Arabidopsis thaliana: one gene and its partner. The protein of the gene in region 2 interacts with the protein of the main gene of each other region in a pairwise test. Each region holds a gene or a part of one and is shown on either strand. Other genes may lie near its edges.

Region 1 (4,068 bases), on a different chromosome or scaffold from region 2:
ATTAATACTATACGTAAGACGAAATTTGGGAAACGATAGGGATAAGGATAATACTAGTTCACAGTTGAAAGGTACGTACAATATTTGCAATCAAAAATAATTAAATGGCATGGTAGAAAGAGTAAGTTTAAAGAAATAAAAACAAATATGGTAGAAAGAGTAATTTAAACAATTAAAATCCTTCAATTATAAATTTGTATTTTATTGTTTAGGTTACGGTATAAAGTAAAATACAATGAATAATTTTTTTTTAATAGATTATTAGTTTATGAAATATTTGTAACTTACATCTAAAATACTAAATCCAAATTTGATCTCACTTGTAAGTTTTTTTCTTTCTTCCGAATGTTAATTTGTAAGTTGTTGCCATTGTTTTTGTTCTTCATTAATCTTGAAACTGTTAAAATCAAGATATCTCACAATTCCAATTCTCGATAGAGCAAACGGATCAGACCTTTTCCATAAATATTACATGTAAAGTAGTGAAAAAGATGTATGTACTCACTACTCATAAATCATCATACGTATAACCCTTTTCATAGACATACGAGAATTATACGTATAAGAATTGAGAAAGGCTGCAAATTCTTCTGTGTATTCCCACTATACTGGTACCATCACCTTTTTCCATAAAAACCACTATTTGTTAATTTTTGTCAATAAAAACCCTAGAATTATTCCACCTAACCTAATAATAACAAGTTAGGAACCCCTGTTTGATATACAAACTAATTCCCATTAGTTTCAGGAATCAGGACTACCACAAAACAGTTAAGAAGTTATAAGTACTTCGTCTTACATTACAAATCTTATTTACACATGTAAGTTTTTCCATCTAAGAAACTAATAATACCACAAACCGTAATATAACGTCCATTTGGTCACATTCTACACATTACACAACAGACATCATCAGCAGTCCAATGCGACGGTAAAAACCTTTTAAAAGTAACGGCGGTTACATATATATTACAGACTTTATTTAACTTTTTTTAAACTTATTTTTTTTCTTTTACTCATACGACGCAATGACATCATCAAGCATCCACATATCCACCTCGGAAACGGACTCATCAAGCTGACTCGGTTGCTCCGCCGTGTTACCGTCCAGCTCAAGGAACGATTCCAAGCTCGATATCTGCTGTTTCAGATCATAATCCGGCTCAAATCCGTAACTCAGGTTCTGAAACTCGTCCCCATTTCCAAATCCTATACACTCCACCGGGAAACTCGGCTGACTTAACTCGCTCTCACTCTGAGAGACAACGCAGACCTTCTTCGCCGGAGGCTGATCGGTTGATCGTGGCGATGACGGCGGAGGAGTATAATTAGGAGGAGGAGGATGGTGCAGATCTGGGAAGTTGAGCTTGGCTTTATCACCACGGATCTGCTTGGCCGCAACATCATAAGCCATGGCAGCTTCCTCCGCCGTGTTGAACGTACCAAGCCAAACTCTAACACCTTTTCGTGGATCTCGAATCTCAGCCGCCCATTTTCCCCATGGACGCTTACGTATCCCTCTATAAACATTCTTCCTCTTCCTCCGTTTCCCCGGCTCTGTTGCCTGCTCCTTCTTCACTGCCTCCTCTTTCACGTTAACTTCAAAATTTTCACCGGATTCCCCAAAGTTCAAAATTTACAATTTTAACCCCACACAGATAATTAAATAATCCTGATAAATTACATTACCAAAACCACAAATATTTTTTTTTTATCATCTTCCGTAAGTTCCAGAAATATTATTTTACCTTTTTGCTAAAAAGGTTAGAAAAAACTATATGTTTGTGTTTTTGAATGATTTTGTATTTTTGTTTATGATTAATAGGAGAGTACATACCTTGGTTGGTGGGATGGAGTTTGGAGGTGGAATAGAAACCCCAGAAGTCGTCGGCGGCGGAAGCATCGAGCTCTGACCAGAGTTCCTCAGCCGTGAGTTTACGGCCCTTGGCCTTGGTGACGAGAGGGGCATAATCGGAAATAATAGCACCGCCACACATTTTCTCTGTTTGTTGCTGTGGGTTTCTTTCAAGAGAAAGTTTCCTACGGTGGAGCTGAAATGCCTTTATAGGCGCAAAATAAATGTTTTATGGTAATAAAGTGTGAGTGAAATGAATTACTTTATATTAGAATAATAATTCTAATAGTTTTATGTTCCTTGATACATGACGGTTACAACAAATTGAAGGCTAATCCACATAACGACAAAATTGTAAGCCTTTTTTTGGCTCTCTGAATACAAAACGTATCACAATGTGATTAGTTTAGTTTTCGGTATTGAAGTGTTGTGTCCACGAGCGTCTGGTAATTTAATAGTATGCGTTATGCGTCTCACGTCCATCACGCAGGCAGCGTCTCAAAGTAAGGTTCATCTTTGCGAGTTACGATGCGAAATTTACGGTCATCTTTGGCATTTCATATGACATCGATGATCAAACATTTCATGATAAACTCAAAAAAAATTAGTGTGTAAGAAAATCAACAACATATAAATGCACCATCCAAAAAAATACACTCATGACCCACTTACTACAAGAAGCTGCCGCATTATAGACGAACCAATAAATCTCAGAAAAAAAATACACACACGCATGGTCCATGGATGAGAGAGGAAACGGTATTGAGCAAAGCAATGTGAAGGATTATAGATATTTGAGGGTTTTTTGTTTTTTTTCTTTGAGTAGTATCCGTATATATGAAGGATCAACCAGCCATTTTGGTTAGGCGGTGAACAGTACTTCTAGCGATTCTATTCCCGGGATCAATCTTTAGAACCATCCTTAGGTCTTCAGCTCCGAGTTTGTATTTCTCCATGCTCTCGTATAACAGTGCTCGTTGAACCAGAATGGTCACATTCTTCTTGTCGTGATCAAGTACCTGCAATCACGTTTTCAAAGTGAACAAAAAACATCTGTGAAGCATAACTGACAATCAGAACAAGTTTCGAAGATGTTGGTTTTGTTCTGAGTCTACAAGAAACCATCTATGGAGCATAACAACCAATCAACTAGCTACGATGACGCGATCCCAAGAACTGTTTAGTTGTGGTATATTTTCCTACAAAGCAAGACACTAAAACTTTCTATACGTGCACAGTATTTCTAACTCGTAATCTATCTTAAGATTCCATAAGAACCTAAATCTCATATTGTCAAGTTTCATATACCTGAAAACTCTTATCAGTATCAATTTCATCAAGAGTCCTTAAACTGATTCCAATACAACTAGAGACTTCGTAAACTAAGGATCTGAGATGAGAATGATATGAACCATGGTCCATGATGCATCCAAAGAAAAATGTGCCTTTCTTAACATACCTTTGTGCAGTCGGCTACAGCTTTCTTATACTCTCCAACTTCTTTGTAACACGAAGCCCTTGTTGAAAGAACCTCGGCTGATCCAGCTTCATCACCAGCTCTATCCATAAGAATCACAGCCCAAGAGAGCCACTTTATGGCATCAGCATACTGACCTTGTCTCTGGTTATCAATGCCCTTGTTCTTAGCTGATGTAGCTGATACACCCGGTGGAGGCGGTGGCAAACCATCAAGCTCGGTGGTGGAACCAGCCCCACCGTCAAAACTTTCAAATCCCCAATCTTCGGTCTGTGGCGTAGGTGGTGCAGCTGAGGGTTTGGAATTAGAGAACATTCCTAATGGATCATCGTTTGCACTCGAAGATTGTGGACCACTTGGTTGCACACCAAAATCAACGTTTGAAGCATTGAAGCTACCTCCTGATGAGAATGTGTTTGATTTCGAAGCCTGGAAACCCCCAAAGTCGTTGATTTGAGTAGTTGTTCCCGTAGAACCGCCACTGTTAAGGTTCGACACTCCTTGAAAATTCCCAAAAGTATCATTCTGTGCATTGTTGTTAACCTTTCCTGGTTTGCTTCCTGATGATTTTGATCCGAAACCAACCAAAGAACCAAATGGATCACTATTCGAAGGAAGACCAGACCCATTTAGATTGCCCCCAGCCATATTTTTCATTGAAGGACCTCCAAGATTAGCATTAAAACCACCGGAGCTCGTGTAACCACCAGAAAAACCACTCGGATTACTGCTATAA
Region 2 (3,902 bases):
TTGTGAATGATCGGGATTTGAGATCAAAGAATTGGCATTCAGATATTTAAAGGATCAAAGAAACGAAATGATTGAGAATAACGAGATCATATGGCCTCGTACGTAAGAGCATCTTCATCGACAAAAGTGGTAGAGAATATCTCAAAAAATAAATAAATTAGTATTTTAATTAAATTAATATATTTTAATTAGTTTAAAGTAAATAAACCATTAGTTGAATGACAACTCTCAATAAATGCTAAGAATCGTCTCTTTTGCCAGAAACGGTTCGCCACTTTTCTTTCTTTCTCTCTTGTTTTTTTTCTTTTTAATTATTATTTATTTGATGAGTATCTCAATCAGATACTTCGATGGAGATGGTATAAAATTCTTAAAAAAGAAAAAAACTCGAGTGACCCATGATAACAACTCATTTTGATGTAAGTACCAAAATGCATAATTATTTTATCACATCGGGAAAATATAGTCTCTAACACAATAATCACAACACACCATTTCTATATAGTATTTTAAATGGACCACCGCCATCTACAAAAACCGTCCACGAGCTTTCACATTATTTTCATTTATTTCACTAATAGCCAAAATTTCATCTTTCTAATAAGAGCAACAATAACTCCCAAATAAGGAAACAGAAAACTCTAAGAAAATGACAAAATATTATTTCTTCACTTTTAATATATAGAAAGAAAAGATCTTAAAATATTTGTACCAAACTCACATCACCATCTCCATGATATCACACATTTCTTACACTGTCTATCATTACAATCAGTTTTAAACACTAATTAACCATCTTATAAAATAAAGAAACAAAGCATCATCACATAATTTATAAGAAAAATTACAGTTTTACCCCTGCTGCGATGATTAGTCTCACTCACGATGATAATGATGTGAAGTTTTCTAACAGTTGAAAACATCACCAGCAGTAGAAGCAGAAGCCATGATTGGTTGATTATAAAACCCTAGATTCATAGGATTCATCACGCCGTCGAATAATCCACCGTCGAATAATCCCTGACCGGTCTCCATACCGAATCCTGAAGAAGAAGATTCGACGAAATCAACGATCTCGTTAAGAGATTGGAGACGGTGGTTAAGTTCAAGAACCTGAGCTCTGAGAATGTCGTTCTCCGCCTCGATAGTGACGTAGTGCTGCGTCGTGACGGCGATTCCGGCGACGATCTGAGCGTTTTCTTTACGTAGATGAGTCACCTGAGCAGTGAGATCATCCAAATGCTTCTGCTTCCTCATCCTCGACCTCCTCGCAGATTCTCTGTTCGACTGTTTCCTCTTTCTCTTCCGCTCGTCGATTAGATCACGTTGCCGGAGATCAGATTCTGAACCGGAGTTAGCTAAACCAGTGGTTGAAACCGACGAGCAATTTCCACTTGTGGAAGATCCCATTTCAGTTTTATTATTCATATTAAAACACACAGAGAAAATTAAGTACTATGATTAAGACGCAGGACCCAAAGTTTATTATGTAAAAAGATTATAGTATATAGTTTTAATATATTATTATGGTTATAGAATATATAATAATAAAGGGCTAAAGGAGAGCTGATTTATGAGAAAACATAGAACCAGTAGAGAAAGACGACGGAGAAAGATTGAACAAGATGGGTCCTGCGTCTAAGAGACGAGTCTATAGTTAAACCAGATCTAAGGATTTCACTAATCACCGGAGACATGAATGTTTGAACATCAAGATCCACAAGAGTTTTGCCACATCAAATATTTATCAAACGCAAACTGATTACTAGTGTTTTTTTCTAGAGAAAACTGAAAAGAGAGAAAATATAAAAAGGTAGAAGAAAACGAGGAAGACAAAATAAAAACGCTAAAGAAGAGAGAGTGATTGATTCGAGAGCGAAGGGGAAGAGGTGAATTAAGGATTTGTGAGGGGATTTTATAGAGTTAGCAAAAAGGGTTTAGAGCATACTAGATTTAATAAGAAAATAAAGAGAGTATAAAGTGAATATCAGAAAGAAGGTGTTGAGAGATGAAGCATGTGAAGTGGGATTTTCCGAAACAGTCAAGTTACAGCTGTTTTGCAATATTTTATTTATATATTTATGTGTATGGGTTTAATTGTAAATTAATGATTCTGTATAATTAACCAATAACTATTTTTAGACATTTTTAATATGGAAAAGGAAAGAATCTTCGGTATTGGGTATCCTATTTTGTGAAAAGTTTTGATTTTTAAAATCTTCAAATTTTATTCTCTGATGAAAACAACGCGTTTAATTAATTTTGGTCAAATGATGGCTTTCAACAATATTACAGTAACACTGATAATAATAGTTTTGTATTAATGCTAACTTTTACTGCTAAAGAATCTTAAAGATAATAATAATAAGAATAATTGAAACTTTTGTCGTTGGTTCTCGACTTCTTTTTAATACATCAAAATCACCGCCCAAAGTACCAGAATTAACCGTTGAGCAACGGACACCTGGAGCATGAGACAAATCATGAATGAGGGTAGAGGTGGTATTTTCGTTATTTAATTTCTTATACATATATCTTTTTGTCAATAATTCAATCAATTTCGCTGTCCAAAAAAATAATATATATATTTAGGATAATAAATTAATAGTTTAGAAAACTATCAACTAACCAGCCGTTGAATTTATCGCCGTATGAAGCATCAAAATTAGAACTATTATTATCTTTACAATATTTCTATAACGTTTTGGAGTCCACTATAAAATATCAAGTTACATATCGAAAAGAAAAGACAAAAAGAAAAAACAATAAACTTTAAACGAGTAAATTACAGTACGGTAAAAAACTACTATTTGACAACAAAAAGAAGAACATATATACATTATCTAAACATTAAGGGTGTCAAAAACTTTAACTCATTGAACTTCATGTGACCGACGTGTTGTGGTACGTATAGTTACATAACATTGGATTGTAGAATCCAAGACGTAAATTCGTGTCAATTTATAAAATAATTTTATTGTGTGTAACATATTACATGTGGACCATGACTACTTAATCATTTGGTTTTGGTGCTTTAACTGAAATGGTTTGTGAGAAACTCTTTACCAAATTTTTTTGTTCATCCTCGAGCTCGTAATTAATCAAACATTTCGGCAAAACTTTGATATCTATAAATCTCATAAAAAGATTGAAATAAGAATAATACGTACTCATCTACAGCTCTATAACTTACAATAATATTATATACTAAATTTTGTAAAACACACATATATATATAGCTTAATTAATTGAATAGGAAAATTATGTAAGATGGACCGTCATAGTACGGACATCTCACGTGCAATTGCAATGCAAAGAGTGCGTGCTCTGTGCGCATGTGGACCCATGTCAAACATCGCAGTTGAGATGTAAGATCGACACGTGTCATTTTATTATTGAAAATGGATTTTTAAAAAGAAAAAATGTTGGTTCAATCGAATAAGTGAAGTCTAACGTTAATTAGGTATTTCCAATTAATGAATGTGTCCCTGCAAACATTGCAACAGGTAAGAAAAAGTAATTTGTACTAATTTGTCTTCTTCACACAATGCTTATTTGGCCTTATTTTTTTAAAAAATCTTTCATTTTAAATGAAAAATTAATTTTATTCGATACAGAAACATAATTTTCTTTACAAAATCGAAGATTTTTCAGATACCCAAGGTTTCATCGAACTAATTAAGATATCTCAAATATATTTATCATAACGCAAAATCAATTGAATAAATAAATAAAAATGCGACATGTATTGGAAAGGCAAAAGATCCCACTATAAATTAATGTCTAAAATACAAATGGTTACCACTTACCATAAAAATAATAATCGTCACCTCAATAATTTTTCATTCAACAAAAAGATTGTTGTTATTGCTTTCTACTAAGGCATATCACATCTTCTTTTT

What was found.
Region 1: the proteins of bZIP44 (region 2) and EBP interact in a two-hybrid assay, tested with the Arabidopsis thaliana proteins (one large-scale study listed by BioGRID).

Annotation. Positions count from the first base shown.
Region 1 is NC_003074.8:5,703,713-5,707,780, reverse strand, and holds EBP (ethylene-responsive element binding protein), read right to left. Parts: upstream 2,241-4,068; 5' UTR 1,998-2,240; coding exon 1,838-1,997; intron 1,600-1,837; coding exon 1,013-1,599; 3' UTR 697-1,012; downstream 1-696. Other genes in the region: AT3G16760 (Tetratricopeptide repeat (TPR)-like superfamily protein), read right to left, coding at 2,701-2,874, 3,315-4,068.
Region 2 is NC_003070.9:28,289,750-28,293,651, reverse strand, and holds bZIP44 (basic leucine-zipper 44), read right to left. Parts: upstream 1,955-3,902; 5' UTR 1,429-1,954; coding exon 907-1,428; 3' UTR 644-906; downstream 1-643. UniProt on the Arabidopsis thaliana protein: Transcription factor that binds to the DNA G-box motif 5'-CACGTG-3' of MAN7 promoter. Involved in the positive regulation of seed germination through MAN7 gene activation.